4 linked regions of the Macaca fascicularis genome follow. The main gene of each other region encodes a partner of the protein of the gene in region 3 in a complex. Links are inferred from orthologs where the notes say so. Each region holds a gene or a part of one and is shown on either strand. Other genes may lie near its edges. The genes, in order: NSMCE2, SMC5, NSMCE3 and NSMCE1.

Region 1 (4,654 bases), on a different chromosome or scaffold from region 3:
AGTTAAGTCTTAAAAAACCACTTTAGAATTAGGTCCAATTAAACTCTGTAGAAGAAGCTATGGTAAATTATCCTTTCAGAGGTTCTCTTCGTGCTAGGGATTAAGAAAACTTGAAGATCAGCTCTCTCAATACAGGCTGTATTACTATCGGCATGAAATCCAGAGATCCCACTATATTCTCTTATTTTCTTTTACAAGCGCCAGTAACTTCATTTTTAAGAATTTGGCGTGGAACTGTGATTTTCAGTTTGGGAAGTAATCCTAATCAAAAGACATGCTTTCAAGAATGAGGCATGGCATCATTATACCAATTACCCAGCGTGCAGAATAATATTTCTTAAGGAAATCGAATTGTCGTGGACAAACACTGTTTACCCCCTTCAGAGGACAAAAGAAGGTAGGTCTATATTTAGCCTTTCGCAAAACCTCAGTTCCATAAAGGAAGCACTGATCTCCACAAATCCATTATCACAAACAAAATATAATGGTTGTCGGTCAAAATAAATGCAAGCTGCATATGTTTTCCAGAAAAGTTCTGACATGAGGCTTAACCTGAAATCCTGGGAAAGGCAGGTGAAGGACAATTAGAGAAGGTGTCCCTTGTTGTGCGCAAAGACAGGAAAACTTCTCCCTCACTACCCTTCACCTATGTTTGAGGGAGCTCCATGCGCTTGCAATCAGGAGACCCAGTTCTACGACTCTGTGACTTTTTTTCTTTTTCCTGTCCGATCATAGAGGAATCAGGGCCTTGGGAACATTTCCCCCCCCCCCCCCCCCCCGCCAAATGCAAAGGATTTTGGCATTAGCACAGGTGAAGGCATTAAGACGCAGCGAGCAGCAATGACTTGCCCAAACTCACAGCCCATGGCATAACTAGAATGCAAATCCAGGTCCGTCAGGCTGTAAAAGTCCTCACTACTAGCCTTTCAGTTTTCTCAAAAGCAAAGAGAGAAATAACGACGACATCCACACTGCAGTGTTCCCGGAAACTTGGAAGGATGAGATTCGGACCAAGCAGCCAGCTGAACGGTGCTTCCTAAAGCGAGGAAGGAGTGTGCAAAATGAGTTCCCCCTAAGCGGAGACGAAGAGCTGGACTGCAGCCCCCGCCCCAGAAAGCCCCTAAGCCCTCCATCCCGAGTCCCCCGTCCAGGCTGCACGCGACGCTGGAGACCTCCCCAGGGCCAGCACGGCCCAGCGGGGAGGTGAAAGGGGCCATGCAAAAATGGGGCGCGCTCATCCCATCCCCACTCACCTGTCAGCCGGGCCGCGCCAGCGGCGCACGCGCAGGGCAGGAGGTTGCGCGCGGAGTCGGCACCCAGGTTCCACCCCTCCCTCACGGCGGCGGTCCTCTTCTATCCCCAGTCCCGGACCTGGAACGGGTCAGAGCCGGGCTTCCGCCCCTGACTTCCAGGACGGTCACATGACCGAAGCGGCGGTGAGCAGGGAGGGGCATCATGTGACCACTCGCCGGCGACGGATGATGACGCAAGAGCCCGCGCTCACTTTTCAGCTACAGGCGAAGGGGGCTGAGGAAAGGAGGTGGGTACAAGTAGGGAAAGTTGGGGTGCCACCAGACGGAGACAACTCGGACAACCAGGTAGGGAAGAAGCGGGGGACGGCAATGGGGAAGGTGGCGGGAATTGTCGCCTCCCTCAGGGACACTCCACGGGGACCCCGAGCCGGGAATTCGTCGACCTGGATTATGGTTGTGGCCCTTTTCACGCCACAGTAGTGAGTCTGGGACAGTTTACCCTCCTGTCCGAGGCGCCATCTCTCCATCCGTTAGCCACAAGTGTGTAAGGGCAAGATCACGAATTTTTGATCCAAATAGATGTGGTTTGAACTGACTTTAAAAGTAAGGCCACGGGAAGGTCGTTTGAATAAACTCTCTGGACCTCAGTTTCCTCTTCACTTATGTAGATTGCAGTGAGAATTAGCGATAAGGAGAATGAAGTGCCAGGACACCAGTTTATGGCATTCTGTAGGTGACCGAGAAATGATGATGTCTGTTGTTATTTTTGTAACTCGCCAAATCTTTATTGGTCCCCTATTTTGTGTGAAGAACTGCTTTATATGCAATAGAATATGTCAGGGTTCTAGTTTAAGGAGCTTTCAGTGTAAAGAAGCTGCAGACATGTGAGCAAATAGTTGTGATGAGTTTCATAATGGGAGTGTGTTGTGTACATGTGCATGTGATAGGAATAATGGTAGCATGGGGGAGGGAACAAGCAATTGTATGAGAAGGATTCAGAGAGAAGGGTATAGCCTTGCATGCTGAAAAAGGAGAGGCAGCTCTGGCTGACTTGTACAAGGTTCCCGTGGATTTAAAGGAAGTCAGCATATTGTCTATAAATAACATGCAGAGAAAAAACTCAGGAAATGCACAACTTGTTCTAAACTTTCTTGGAGATCATAGGTATTGGGAAGAAAAGATCAGTGTTATTACATGGGAAGGGATCCAAGAGAGATTGATTTAAATCAGTTATTCTCAACTGATGCGCTATTGACATTTTAGGCCAGATAATTTTTTCCTGTGGGGTGGGGGTGAGGGCTGTCCTGTGTATTGTAGGACGTTTGAGAGTATCCCTGGCCTCTGCCCACTAGATGCCAACCATAATGTCTACAGATATTGCTACATGTCCCTTGGGAGAGGGGTAAAATCTTTCTTGGTTGAGAACCACTTAAACCAAGCCATGAGAGATGGTGTCTTAGTCAGTGTGGGCTTCTATAACAAAATGCCATAAACTAGGTAGTTTACGAACAACGGAAATTTATTTCTCACAGTTCTGGAGGCTGGAAAGTCCAAGGTCAGGGTGCCAGCAGATTTAGTGTCTCGCAAGGGCCTGTTTCCTGGTTCATAGGTGGCTTCTTGCTGTGTCCTCACACGGTGGAATGGCAAAGCAGCTCTCTGGAGCATCTTCTAAAAGGGCACTAATTTTATTCATGAAAGTGGGCCTAATCGCCTCCCAAAAGGCCCCACCTCCTCATACCATCACCTTAGGAGTTAGGATTTCAACATATAAATTTTGGGTGACACAAACATTCAGACTTTAGCATATGGGTAAGATGTGGGCAGATAGAAAACTGAAGAAAGAGCCTGGTACGGTGGCTCACACCTGTAATCCCAGCACTTTGGGAGGCCAAGGAGGGCGGATCACTTGAGGTGGGGTGTTTTGAGACTAACCTGGTCAACATAGCGAAACCCTGTCTCTACTAAAAATACAATAAATAAATAAATAAATAAATAAATAAATAAATAAAATAACCAGTGTGTTCTGGCGCACACCTGTAATCCCAGCTACTCAGGAGGCTGAGGCAGGAGAATCCCTTGAACCCAGGAAGCAGAGGTTGAGGTGAGCCGAGATCATGCCACTGCACTCCAGCTTGGACGACAGAGCGAAACTCTGTCTCAAAAAATAAATAAATAAAAAGAAAGAAAACTGAAGAGATGGTTTTCTCATGGTGGGAGCAGGATGAACAAAGTCCTTTTTTCCTTTTTGGAGACAGCGTCTCACTCTTATTGCCCAGGCTAGAGTGCAGTAGCATGATCATAGCTTACTGCAGCCTTGGACTCCTGGACCCAAGGGGTCCTCCCACCTCGGCCTCCCAAGGGGCTAGGACAATAGGTGCAAGCCACCATGTCTGTGTTGTTTGGTTTTTTTTTTTTGAGATGGGGTCTCGCTGTGTTGCCCAGGCTAGTCTTGAGCTCCTGGCCTCAAGCAGTCTTCCTGCCTTGCCCTTTCAAAGTGCTGGGATTATAGGCATGAGCCACCGCGCCCAGCCTGAACAAAGTCTGGAGGTGAGTTCAAGAATATTGAGTATGAAGGGGAGAAGGAAACACGAGAGCTGTGCATCTGACCGAAGCAGTTTATTCATTTATTGATAGTTTCAGAGCACTTGCTGTTTATGAAGCACTGCGAACATCTTGCAAGATAGTTACTAACAAAGTAGAGTTACTGCCAAAGGCTATAATTATATCAAAGAGGATGCTGTTAGAGTCAGAGAAAGGAGTTGTCTTTGACTTGTACTTAGCTGTATTTATTGGGAGGAATTGAGAAAAGTATGTCTATTCCATCTTTCTGCACCATCCATTGTCTTTGCTTTTCAATTCAGTCTGTCTTAATCTTTTCCCTACTCCAGAATTACAGAAAAGCATGGTCATGTTTTCCTTGGTCCTCTGCAAGAGTGAAGTTTCACTCAAGTAATGTGAGTTTTGCATTCAACCAAGTAGTGACAACTACTGTTTGGTATATACTTTCCATTTATACTGGATTGCATTAATCTTCATAGATATTGTGTCTTTGTTCAAGCTACCATAACAAAATACCATAGACTGGGTGGCTTAAACAACAGAAATTCTGGAGGCCAGAAGTTCAAGGTGAGGTTGCCAGCATGGTTGAATTCTGGTGAGGACTTTCTTCTTGGCTTGTAGATGGCTTCTCTCTTTATGTGTCTTCACGTGATAGGGAGAGAGAGAGAGAGAACAGTCCCTGCCGTCTCTTCATTTTCTTTTCTTTTCTTTTCTTTCCTTTTTTTTTTTTTTTTTTTTGTTCTTTTGAGACAGGGTCTTGCTCTGTTGCCCAGGCTGGAGTGCAGTGGTGTGATCATGGCTCACTGCAGCTTCAGCCTCCTGGCTCAAGTGATCCTACCACA
Region 2 (4,498 bases), on a different chromosome or scaffold from region 3:
CTATCTGACTTCAATGTAGCAGGTGATATTTTTGAAACATTGTTTTTCCTTGGCTTCTCTGATAATTGCCTCCCATTGTTTTCATCTTACCTCCCTGAATAGTTCCTTCTGGCTTTGAGTCCTTCCTCCTTTCACCCTTAAAAGCAGGCATTCTCCCAAGACCCTGTACATGGTCTTCTAGTCCTTCAATTTATAATTCCTATTGAGCAATCATAACCAGTTCTGCAACTTCATCAATCACCTGTATGCATGACTCCCAAATCTCTCATCCGTTCATACTTTCCTCTAAGCTCCAGACTCTTATATTCTGCCTATAGAACATCTCTCTTAGATACTCCAAAGGAAACTTCAAATCACAGGATCTAAGAGGCATTTATTATTCTCCTCAAACTGCTCTCTCTTCTGAATAGCATCTGACCAATTAGCTAAGGCAAACACCTGGGAAAAATGCTGCATTCCTCCCTTTCCCCCATGCCTCAATTATTCTGTAGCTGGATCCTGCCAAATCTCATTCCTTCACACTCTGATCATCTCTTGCCTTCGTATTGTCTTTTTGCTTCCAATCTTGCACCCTTTCTAAATCATCCTCCGCAGTGCTTCCAGAATAACATAAAACACATGTCATTCCCTGTTGAAAACACACCGTGGCTGCCTACAGGATGCTGCTGGAACTTCTTAGCATAGTAAACATACAGGTCTCTCAATGGTTGCTTACCCTGTCCAAATACTCACTCACATCCTATACTCTTGCCTTACTAAAACACTTGACACTTTCTAAATATACCAAACTATTTCAGACCGTTCCTTCTGTCTTCAATGCTCTTCACTTCTTTTAAGACTTTCCTATCTTCTCAGGCGGGTGCAGTGGCTCACGCCTGTAATCCCAGCACTTTGGGAGGCCGAGGTGAGTTGCTTGAGCCCAGAAGTTCGAGACTTGCCTGGGCAACATGGTGACACCCCATCTCTACAAAAAATTTTTAAAACATTAGCCAGGTATGGTATGCGCCTATAGTCCCAGCTACCTGAAAGGCTGAGGTAGGAGGATCACTTGAGAAGGGGAGGTACAGGCTTCACTGAGCCCTGATCATGCCACTGAGCTCCAGCGTGGGCAACAGAGCAAGAACAAAGACTTTCATATCTTCTCTACAAAGCCCTTTCTCATACTCGTGGACAAAACTAACCACTTCATCCTTTGTGAAGGATCCTGATATATATGTTGTTATGGTATCTAACTCATTTGATTACATTTATCTTTCCTGATCTGGATTCAAATAGCAATGCAACTACTTAACAGCTGTGTAAAACTGGGCAAAACAACCTACTGAGCTTCTTTCAGCAATGGAAATTATCAAGATAGAGTTGTTATGAAGAAAGAATGAGTGCACTGTGTACCTGGCACACAACAGGTGCCTGAAAACAAAAAAGGTAGTATTGTTAAAATACAATTCTGTTATCCTTATGCCACTATGTGCAAGTTTAAAAAAGACTTCAGGGCGGACACGGTGGCTCACGCCTATAATCCCAGCACCATGGGGGCGTGCAGATCCCCTGAAGTCAAAAGTTCCAGATCAGCCTGGTCAGCATGGTGAAACCCCGTGTCTACTAAAAATACAACAACAACAACAAAAAAATTGCTGGGCGTGGTGGGGGGTGCCTGTAATCCCAGCTACTCGGTGAGGCAGGAGAATCGCTTGAAACTGGGAGGCGGAGGTTGCAGTGGGCCGAGATTGCGCCACTATCCTCCAGCCCGGACGACAGTATGAGATTCCGTCTCAAAAACAAAAATTAGCCGGGCGTGGTGGCGCGCACCTACAGTCCCAGCTACTCGGGAGGCTGACCCAGGAGCCTGAAACCGAGAGGCAGAAGTTGCAGCGGGCCGAGGTAGCGCCACAGCACTCCATCCACCGTGGGCGACAAGAGCGAAACTCCGTCTCAAAAAAAAAAAAAAAGACGACTTGGAACAGATTCACTGTGAGGTGCTAGACAAATACATGATATATTTAAAACTTACTAAATTCTAAAGTGATAACTAGTTGTCTGAAGGAGAGAGGGAGGAACCAGGGAAGAAAGCTGGGTTTAGAGGGGTCAAGGGTCAAGATCCAACAATTGCCAGGAAGGTTTAATTTTTTTGTACTTGTAACCTCCCATCCCAAACAACCTTTACCGTCTTATCTACTCCTCTGTGGCAAATGCCTACCCTAAGAATCTGCCACAGCATCCCCACCACGCCGAATTAACTGTTGCCTCCTCGTAAATTCCCGGGGACAATACTTCTGTGAATTACAGACCAGGGCCGCTATGGATCGCGACTCCCAGCGGGCAGAGACCTACTCCCTCGTACAACTACTACCTGCTACAAGACGCTTTTGGAAAACCTTGGCGGACTAAATTTAAAAACCACATCACGTAAGGCACACATCTACATCATACACGTCAATCTCCACAGCCTTCGTAGAAAAATCCTCATGGGAACCCCGGCACGAATTCAAGGCCAGACCCACAAGCCAGGTACACACCCACACGCCCACGCCCGCGCGCAGCCGGCGCCCCGGGGCCTGCTGGACCGCACGCCTCCACACCCGCGGCGCGGCCTCCCGGCCACTCACAGGAAGTTCTCCATCGAGATACGGACGATAGAGCCCTCCACGAAAGGCCCGGACGACTGCACCAGCGGCAGCTGCGGGGCCGGATTCTTCCTCTTGCTCGGGACCTCCGACGAAGGGTCTCTCGGGAGAGCTCTCTTGGAAGCCTGGGGGCTTGGAGTTGACGTCTTCTTGCTTGGAGTCGCCATCCTGGCTTTCTCAGCGCCCCACAGCGACTTCCGTTCCCACCGTCCGGCAGCCCAGGCGCCCAAGCGCCCCAGCGCCCGGCTCCCGCGCGAACTGCCGCGAACTGCTCCCGCGCGCTCGCTCCCGCGATCTCGCGCCGCGCCTGCTCAGTTCAGATCCGGAGCGTCAGCGGGCCCACCCAGCGCCTCCTGCTCTCCGCCTCGCAGAACTAGGGCCCGACTAAGGGCGGAGCAGCAGACGGGACTGAGTGGGGACCTCGGGGGACGTGGCAACGGGAGTTTCTTCTCTGTATATTTCAGCATTCAGATCCTTTTTTGTTTTTTTTCCACTCAGGAAAAGATGTCAATTGCATTTAGTATTTTGAAAGCCACTTTATTGCTTCCCGAGCCTCAGTCATGTGTGGTGGGAGGCAGCTGTGGGGGGCACCAGGGGCGTCCAGGGCCGCCAAGGCCAGGGGTACGTTAGGCCCTGCTTGCTCCCACCCCTTCCAGGTGCCCACCTGAGAGCTCCCGGGCACGCCCATCCTTGGCTCTTCGTCCTCTTGGTTTTCTTCCCCGTTGCTTCAAATCAGGTCCCTGTCTCAAAAACCCCGAAAAAGAAATACTCTCAAATAACTCTGCCCGACGCTCCGTGAAGGCATCGTGCTAGGCGTTCTCAAACTCGTGGAACGACTACACTGCACAGGTTATCCTCATTGCTTCTCTGCTCCTTGCTTCCTAATTCTCTGGTTAAACTTCCGCCCCCGAGGTTTCTAGAAATCCCTGAGCTAGAATGCGCAGCCTTCATTAACAGGGTGGTTCTGCTTCCGTCTGCTCACATTCATCTAGTAAGCCCTCGCTTTAAAGAGGAGGCGGCGCACCGAGGCCTGCCTAGATCTTTCCTTCAACTAATAATGAGTGTCTAACCTACAAGAAACTGGAGCCGTGGCAGTTTAGAAGCCTGCCAAGGTTGCATCCCTGGGAACTTATTTTCTGTTGTGGGAGACAGGAAAAGAACAAGTGAATCAACTGAAATTAAAAAATTCCAACTTAAAGCTGTTGGAACTTGAAATTATTCAGAGCCTTGCGAAGAATGTGGCTACGGGGCCTGAGTCCTATGGCGTACAGCTGCAATGTCTGCCTTGTTTTTTCCTGTAAATAATCAGGAAGACCAAACAGAGACAGAGGTAAGACCCCCTCAGATCACTATCCCTCTTCATAGATTAATATAGTTATCCTCCTTGGAATGGAGATATCTATAACTAATCTAGTCGCTGTGTTTTATGCTTTGGTCTTGTATTGAAAATGTACTCCTGCTGAACCTTCTCTGCTTCTGCCTACGTAAATGAAACCTTAACTTCACTTTGGAACATTGACCTTATTTGTTTGGAGTTGGTGTTTCCAGGTGGCTGTCCTCAAGCTTTGCGTTAGAATAAACTCTACTTAATGTTATTTTATAAATTTCACTACTTAAGGTTGACACAACAAATGATTAGGATAATTTCAGACTGTGACAGGTGTTAGGAAGAAAACAAAATGAACCTGATGGGTGGGAGGTACGGAAGGTCTCTTAGAGGTGGTGATGTTTAAGATAAACCCTGAAGGACAAGAGGAAACTGTGGCATCTGAGAAAAGAGCACCCCAGGCAAAAGAATTTTGCTGGAACATTCCAGTAAGGACGAAAGCTCTGAGGTGGGAAGGCCCGTGTGGCTGCAGAGCAGTGAACAAGGT
Region 3 (3,922 bases):
CTATGAACTCTTCTAGTTCATCTAGTCCATAAAACAAACTATTATATAGCTATAATTTTTTTTCATTTTACAGGTAAAGAAACTGAGATTCAGACAGCTTAAAACCTACCACCATATCACCATGCTGACAAGTTAGCATGAGCCGTAATTCAAATTCAGTTTGCCAGACAGCCCCAAGACCCACACCTTTTCCCTATACCTAACTCCCTACGAGGTTGATCTTATGTCCTGCTCTCACTGTTCTATGTGGGCTATACTCACCATACACTTTATACTTATTTCCCCATACAATAGAGTCAGACTAGCGGAATATACCTTTTGAACCAGTAATTGCTCTCCTAGGAATCATTTGGAAAACAAGATAAAGAAAAGTTGTATTTAAAAAGTGGCAGCTCCAGACCGAGAATAAAAAATAAAAACATTAAAGAATAACAAGCAAATTCCTCCACATCAGGGACTAAACCCATTTTACAGGTCAAGAAACATCTGCATACAAACTAAGGAACCTACGTAAATTCCTATACTAGTGACGGTGGGGCCAGGATCTGAACCCAGGCAGTCTGATTCCCAAGCAGGCATGGTTAATGGTTACGCTATTGTTTTATAAGCCTTTTTGGTATCCACAGTAGAAATATATTTTACCTCATGATCCTGTACACACACACACAAAAGTAAAACAACTTCTACAAAACAACATTGACCTCAATATGTTGCAAAAACTTTAAGACGCTGATTTCGTCATGAAATTGTCTCATGGCCCACGATTTAAAAAACACACAATGCTTCAGTGCTTCAAAAATACAGTATTTATTGTAATAACTAGAGTAGCATGTAAAAAAAACTAAGTGGAACTGCATGTTTAGCAACACAGCTGAGTAATTATGAATATAAACAATTGCTATTTGGAGAAAATACACCACGTTCATTGCTTGGAACCATGAATAATACTTACATATGTAGGAAATATAGAAAAAATAAAATAGGTTAAGGTAATAAGGATATAGGCAATTACGTTTTTATTTTTAATTTTATAAAGACTTTTATTTTTCCTTACAAACTGGGATGCTTAAGAGACCCGATAATAGCTACTTTTTTATTTTCTTGGCACCAAAGCAACTTACTTATGTGTTCCTTCTGGCATATCTGTTTCAGATCATAGTCAAGTTTTCCAATTCGTTTTACTAAGCTAGGAAAATTTTTTATACCAAAAAAAGTAAAATCAAAGCAAAACAAATGCTCCTTTGTTTATAGATGAAAATCTGGAACCAAATAACACAACATTAAAAGAACAAAACTTTGCAAACACATCCTAAAGCTACACACATTGAAACGCTACAGAAATACGCTTCCTGGGTTCGTTCTCCCTTCCCCCGCTCCTCTGCACTGTGCCTTTGGGTCTCAGACCCTTGTCCCGGGGGTCCCTCTGAATCCACCTCAGATTTCAAGAGGATGGGGCTGAGCCACTGGGCTGAGGTCTGGCCCTGTTCTCCTCATCTGCCAACGCCTCACAGTACTGCGCTGGCCAGTCCTTGGGGTCTTGATTATGGACTTTGGCCACAAACTTAAGAACTTTCATCTTGCTGGTTTCCAGGTTGGTTCGCGGGCCCCACTGGAACTCGTAGTCCACGGGGTCGGTGTGGGGTATCCGCCGGTATTCCAGGTAACGTTGTCGCACAAAGTCCTCGGTAATGAGTTTCTTTGGATCTCCGAAAATGAAATGCTTCTTGGTGGGGTAGACCCCTAAGCGCCGCAGAAAGTCCCAGACTTCAGTCTCCTTGACGGTGTTGCCCTTCATAAAGATGAGCCCCAGGACGATCATCAGGAGGCCCGTAGTGGGCGTGCCTTGGTCACCCCTCACCTCGGCATCCTCCTCCACCGGCTCCAGGGTGTTGATGAGGATGTAAGTGTTGCTCTTGGGTTCAAGTTCCACCAGCTTATAACCGAAGACGTACTGGAGGCGCTCGGCGGCCCGTTTGAGGAGGTCGGGGAAGATGTCCTTGTAGTCCCCGATGACGTGCTTCAGTATGTCGGCCCGCTTGATCGGAATCTTCTTCTGGTCCTTAATCAGTAAGAACTGCACCAGCTCGGACACTTTCAGCTCCTGCTGCTTCTGGGTCCTGGGGCCCACGGCGGGGGAGGCCTGGGACCGGCGGGCGCCCTGCGACCCCTGCGAGCCGCCCGGCCCCCGGGAAGTGCTCGGGGCCTCCTCTGCGAAGCCGTCTCTGCGGGCCCGGGCGTGTTCGCCCGCCCGCGAGGCCCCGGAGTTTCCGCCACGGCTCCAGTCGCTGTCCCTCTCGGCCTGGCCGCCAGAGCGACCCCGGTTCCTCGGTTTTTGCAACATGTCACCGGCGACGCGTACCGGTGCACACTCCGGCAAGCAAGCAGCCGCGGCTGGGATCGCGGGTCGGCGACCCGCTAAGGCCGCTGCCTGGGCGGGGCCCCAGAAGGGGCGCGCAGTGTCGGCTGAGACTGCGTGCCGCGTCATGAAGCCTGCGCCTTGCGTCACGGCGGCTGGGCGGTGCGCCTGCGCGGCTGCGGGGCTGGGGGTACCAAAAGCATCCGAGATTTCTGTGCAGCCCTGCAGGTCTGGTCGGTGAATTTCAGTATAGCGAAGTGTTGTTCTTACTAAACCATGCAAGCAGAGAACGAGAACCGAAACTCCTAAACAAGTGTGTCGCTAAATTCAGGACCAGACAGGCTCAGGCAAGTTTTACAGACGGTATTATGAGTTTCTAATTCTAAATCGGGAGCATTTGTAAATGAAAAGATCTCACAGGATGAATGTGTGAGAAAGAAAAAAAAAAAGGTGAAGAGGAAGGTACGACCGTGGAAGTAAAAGCATTTATTTCTACACAACATGTAGAAGGATATAAAAAACCCAGAGGGCTCTTAGTTTTCGTCCCTCCGCTCAATTTTATACCCTCCAACCCACTGCCCCCAGTTACTTTCTCTAATGCCCCGTGGAGTTTGTTAAAAACAAAAGTCTGCTGCAGGCTTTCCGCGCAAGCAGGACTTCGGTTTCACTATTTCCGTATGTGTATTCTCTGCATTAAACTCCTTTAGCTAGACAACTATGAGAAAACCCCACAAAATTTGTCAATATTAAGTAAATGTTTTAGCTTGGTCAAATGAGTTTATCCTTTGGAAAACAACTGCCTTCAGCTCACAGCCACAATTTTAGCAGAAATGCGTAAGAGGAATGCTGCAAACGTGCACTCTCAAGAGATTACCACTTAATTTTGGGCATCACTGATCAAGAATTGCAATAATGTGGATCTCTTAAATTTCTTAATTCATAATATATTAGCTTTGAGAAAGAAAAGAGAACACAGGGGTATTTATCCCTCATCTATGATGTGTGCAGTCTATGTATATTTTAATTGTGCAACTCAAGTAGCCAAAATGAGTCATTTCATTAACTCAAACCATCAGCAATCTGCTGCCATTACTTCTACAGATCTTAGCAAATTTGTTTCTTCTCTATTTATTGACTTGCAAAGAAGAAACTGAATTTCCCTGTGTCTTTTTAAAGCTACCCAGAAAGTGGATAAACTCTTCAAAGAACCAAATCGAGTTCCTCTTTAATGCAAATATATTCAAAGGAAAGCAATTTAGAACACATTATCTGAATAATAGCATCAAACACAACCTTATTAAAATTTTGTTAAATGTTAGTAGCATAACACATTTGTTTGTAATTCAGTAGGAAAATGCAATCTGATAATGGCACTGGAACTGCTATAGTAAATGTAAAATCATATTCCATGAACTAATGCAAGTATGCTAAAATCTGATACGCAGTGAGTAATAACTTACTGTTCCACACAAGATACAACTATATCCTCAGGCATCAAGCTTAATGACAAAGGCCTACTACGAAAAACAAATATATTATCAAGGTATTCATTTTTTTACAATGAGA
Region 4 (3,935 bases), on a different chromosome or scaffold from region 3:
CAGGGGCCTCACCAGGGGCCACAGCCCTGCTGCAGCAGTGGGGGCGTCCAGGGGTCTTCCACAGGGAGCATGGAGGCAGGGTGTGGGCCGGGGCTGGCGCTCAGCCTGAGGCAGCAGCGGCAGGGCCGGAGGGCTACTGGCAGCTGGGCTGGACAGGATCTGGTGACAGTGGGATGCAGGAGGGTCAGGGAGAGGAAGCATTGAGGCTGACTCCCGGTCCCGGCTGGGGCTGCTGGATGGCGGGGCTGCCGGGCACCCACAGGGAACAGAGGGTCCAGGGAGGGAGAGCACGTGTCCCGCCCAAACGCCCAGCCTCAGCCCATTCAGGCCAGTGGCACCTTGGGCCAGGGGAGAGTCCAGACTGGGGAGTTGGGGAGGCCAAGGTTCACACATCCAGGTGTGGGCCAGCCCAATCCTGCTGGGACAGCTGGTCACAGCTGGGACTGGAGGCAAGGCTGCCCTGAGCAAGGACAGTGAGCTGTCCTGAGCCGTTGCTGGGGGCTCTGCTGGTTTCACCTGCTGGAGCCCAAACCCAGGGGTTCTGAGTGATGACCGAACTCCAGGAAAGAAGGCAAGGCCACGACACAGAGCCTCACACACAGGCTCGAGAACACAGACAGGGGCTGCAGCAACTTCCAGGACAGTTTATTCCAAAGCTGTGGACAGTCCACATTAACAAGAAAGAGGTGACTCGCATGGAACCTGAAACACGGACGCCTCTCTTCCAAGAAGGGCTGCGGCGATCAGGCCACCCAAGGCAGCCAGTCCCTCAGCAGAGCACGACGGCTAATGCTGCCTGGACCGCAGGGACTTTTTGTTCGATTTTGAGATACCAGCCTCCCTCTGCTTCTCAGGGTCGAAGACTTCTGTAGGCAGAAAAGGCAGGAAAGACAGTGAACGGAGGGGCTGGCAGCACAGGAGCACCAGCTCGAGCCAGCAGCTACGTCTCCTGTGCCAAGGACTCTGTCCTAGGTCTACACCATTCTTCACTGCCAACCCTCCCCAGCCCGTGAGGCAGAGTTAGCCCCAATTCAGAGAGGAACACACTGAGGGAGCTGCGGACATGGCTGTCACATCCCCCTCCTGAGAGGGCTGCCAGAGAGGGAGCCTTGTCTAGACAAAATGCTCATAAGCGTTGGAATTTCTGCTGGGTTCTAGAAAGTCCTCTGGAACGGTGCACGCAGCTCAGCCTTTACTTCCTGCGGTGGCTGCTTCTAGGATTCAGGCTGCTAATGCGGACCCCCACGCACCCTGGAGCCTTTCAGGGCCCTGCCTCCAAGGGCTTCCCCAGCACCAGGCCCTGCATCCTGCTGGCCCAGCCCTTCCCATGAGCACCTCAGGGCCCACGCACCTGGGATCTCGTGGGGCCAGTAGTCGTTGCAGTGGGGGCAGCGCGGTTCGGCGTTTGACTGGAAGTACTTGGCCACGCAGGGTAAGTGCATCCTGATCCCACAGGTTTCGCAGCTTTGACCCTGAAACAAGAAAGGCCAATGACGGCAGAGCTGGTGCACACCTCTGTGTTCTGCAAACCTCCGGGGAAGCCACAAGGAAAATGGGCAGCTGGTGGCATCGGGTTATCTTCCAGTCCCCAGATTAATACTGAAAATCCCAAACGCCTTAGTGCAGGGGAGTCTTTTGTTTGCTTGTTTGTTGCAGTGGGTTTTACCAAACAATTCTGAACACATGAACGCAGTGACAGAAGCCGAGGGCTGGCAAGCTCCCGCACTCAGATCCTGCAGGTGGCATGTGGACAGCCACAGCTTTTCAGAAGCTTATTTGCTGATGTGGATCAAAAGCTTTCAAAAAAAAATTGCACTTTGTCCCAGAAACCCCGCCCAAGGAAATAATCACCATGTGCCCAAGGATACAGGTGTACGAGGCCCATGAGAGCAATTGCAATTACAAACAGCTACAGCTGCAAAACGACAGAAACTGAAAGACACATCAGTGTCCACGCTGGTTCAGTGGTTGCAAAGCCCTGCAAACTGGAGTAGACCACTGCGGAAAGCAGCAATTGATAGAGACACTCCGCCAAATACTCTGCCACAAAACTGCCAAAATAATGCAGGTTGCACAGAACACTCAACCTTCCTGAGAAGAATAAAGTAAGCGAGAGCCCTTGGACCCCAGCAGCAGAACCAGGGAGGAGAGAGGCAGTGCGTCCCTGCAGGCCACCGTGGGGAGGCATCCTCTGACACGTCCTGGGAGATGGCCTCCAGGAGCTCTTGTGGGAGGAGGCGCCGGCAGTGCAGGAGGGCTGGGTCCAGAGCCAGGATTCGGGAAGTACCTGTGCAGAGCCCCAGGAGCTGAGGGCCCGGCAATGAGCTCCCATGCCCTGCCCAGCGGGTACCTGGATGAGGAGGCTGTGACAGATATTACAGATCTTCACCGCGTCGGGGTACGTCTCCCGGATGTATTGCTCCATTTCCAGGATGGCCCGGCCATGCAGGGTGAACTCCCCTTCCTTCTGCAGGGACACACGGGAGGTGGCCACCCTCAGCCAGGCCCTCTCCCCATTCACTACCTCTGTTCCCTCTGTGATCCCACAGCCCTGTGCTCAGGAAGACACAAGGGTCTAGGCACCTTTGCACCAACCCCAGACAACGGGCATCAGCCACGTCCCCCTGGCAGAGCCTCAGCAAGGGAAACTGAGGCAAAGGCCCAAAAGGCATGGAGGCACAGCTCCCCGACACCGCCCTTTTCTCAGCACCTGTTGTGCCTTCAGACGTGACTGCTCTGTCTGCACAGCAGCCCCGAGCGAGGAAGTCACAGCCCTCCTGCAGATGAGGACGCTGAGGCCCACAAGGGGTCAGTCTCCCCAGGGCACAAACCCGAGCACCCACTGCTTCCATCCGCCACCCATCCCACTCCCAAAAAGCAGCATCCCCGGTGCCTCCCAGCATTTCTGCCTCCAACTGCAGTAGGGACCCTCAGAGATCATTTCCGGCCACATCACTTTACAGACGGAGCTGGAAGGAGTCTGGAGAGGGCAGACGGGCCCCATCACACCAGGGGCAGTGGAGCCTCCAACGGAAGCCAGGCCTCCTGGTTCCCACGCCAGGGTGCGGTCACCCATCATGCATCCTGAACACCCTGGGAGAACCAGGAAGCACATGAAGAACACAGCTCCCCAGGCGGACCCGCCTGCCAGGTCACAGGAGAGAGGCAGCACTGAGGGAGACCCAAGGGAGGCAAATGACACGGACCCAGGACACGGACCCATGCAGGCTGATTCCAGTTTCTCCACAGTCAGCTCATGCATCGGACGTGAACCGCGCCAGGAGATGGCGTCACTGAAGCCTGCGAGTCACTCGAGTGCTCAGCTGCCTTTCCTGTTATTTTCTAATTTTTACAAGCAAGAGCTGTCACTCCCGTTTTTGTTTTTTGGTTTTTTGGTTTTTTTTTTTTTGAGATGGAGTTTTGCTCTTGTTGCCCAGGGTGGAGTGCAATGGCATGATCTTGGCTCAATGCAACTTCCGTGTTCTGGGTTCAAGCAATTCTTCTGCCTCAGCCTCCAGAGTAGCTGGGATTACAGGTGTGTGCCACCACCGGCTAATTTTGTATTTTTAGTAGAGATGGGGTTTTGCCATGTTGACCAGGCTGGTCTTGAACTCCCGACCTCAGGTGATCCACCCACCTTGGTCTTCCAAAGTGCTGGGACTGCAGGCATGAGCCACCGTACCCGGCCCACTCCTGTTTCTGACAGGTAGAGCCCCCCCACCCCATTCCTGCCTCCATCCCCAGAGTGCAGTGTGGAGGGGGTGTGCTTGCATAACCTGGGCTTGCAGTGCATTCACTCTGGAACACCAGTAGAGGGGCTGGGTGAGCACAGGAAGGGAGGCAGGGTAGAGGCATGGGGTTGGGGCAGGGACAGCCGCTGCGGGAGCAGTGGAGGGAGGCCAGGGTACCAGGTGCTTATGCCCTGCACGGCGGCT

Evidence for each region.
Region 1: NSMCE3 (region 3) and NSMCE2 share a complex: the UniProt entries of both Homo sapiens proteins name them as parts of the SMC5-SMC6 complex. The link is inferred for Macaca fascicularis from reciprocal best matches to the Homo sapiens genes NSMCE3 and NSMCE2.
Region 2: NSMCE3 (region 3) and SMC5 share a complex: the UniProt entries of both Homo sapiens proteins name them as parts of the SMC5-SMC6 complex. The link is inferred for Macaca fascicularis from reciprocal best matches to the Homo sapiens genes NSMCE3 and SMC5.
Region 4: the proteins of NSMCE3 (region 3) and NSMCE1 are in contact, whole or in part, in a crystal structure (PDB 7DG2), measured with the Xenopus laevis proteins. The link is inferred for Macaca fascicularis from reciprocal best matches to the Homo sapiens genes NSMCE3 and NSMCE1. Residues at the interface, in XP_018121157.1 of Xenopus laevis: Gly57, Glu58, Val60, Gln61, Tyr62, Leu64, Ile65, Lys66, Gln68, Lys69, Val82, Thr100, Gln102, Gln103, Val104, Phe105, Gly106, Phe107, Asn123, Leu125, Gln126, Arg127, Val128, Gly130, Asp131, Gly132, Met133, Arg134, Asp136, Glu137; in NP_001083134.1 of Xenopus laevis: Ile5, Glu7, Gln10, Arg11, Leu13, Gln14, Ala15, Met17, Ser18, His19, Leu30, His33, Leu37, His38, Leu54, His57, Leu58, Pro60, Leu61, Phe62, Met63, Val84, Asn86, Ile88, Thr89, Met91, Ala92, Ser93, Asp94, Gln149.

Annotation. Positions count from the first base shown.
Region 1 is NC_088382.1:134,752,624-134,757,277, forward strand, and holds the start of NSMCE2 (E3 SUMO-protein ligase NSE2), read left to right. Parts: upstream 1-1,480; 5' UTR 1,481-1,598; intron 1,599-4,654. UniProt on the Homo sapiens protein: E3 SUMO-protein ligase component of the SMC5-SMC6 complex, a complex involved in DNA double-strand break repair by homologous recombination. Is not be required for the stability of the complex.
Region 2 is NC_088389.1:100,952,834-100,957,331, reverse strand, and holds the start of SMC5 (structural maintenance of chromosomes protein 5), read right to left. Parts: upstream 2,895-4,498; 5' UTR 2,792-2,894; coding exon 2,607-2,791; intron 1-2,606. UniProt on the Homo sapiens protein: Core component of the SMC5-SMC6 complex, a complex involved in repair of DNA double-strand breaks by homologous recombination.
Region 3 is NC_088381.1:8,207,079-8,211,000, reverse strand, and holds NSMCE3 (non-structural maintenance of chromosomes element 3 homolog), read right to left. Parts: upstream 2,456-3,922; 5' UTR 2,342-2,455; coding exon 1,442-2,341; 3' UTR 792-1,441; downstream 1-791. UniProt on the Homo sapiens protein: Component of the SMC5-SMC6 complex, a complex involved in repair of DNA double-strand breaks by homologous recombination. The complex may promote sister chromatid homologous recombination by recruiting the SMC1-SMC3 cohesin complex to double-strand breaks.
Region 4 is NC_088394.1:26,306,418-26,310,352, forward strand, and holds the end of NSMCE1 (non-structural maintenance of chromosomes element 1 homolog), read right to left. Parts: intron 2,468-3,935; coding exon 2,351-2,467; intron 1,473-2,350; coding exon 1,352-1,472; intron 867-1,351; coding exon 787-866; 3' UTR 625-786; downstream 1-624. UniProt on the Homo sapiens protein: RING-type zinc finger-containing E3 ubiquitin ligase that assembles with melanoma antigen protein (MAGE) to catalyze the direct transfer of ubiquitin from E2 ubiquitin-conjugating enzyme to a specific substrate.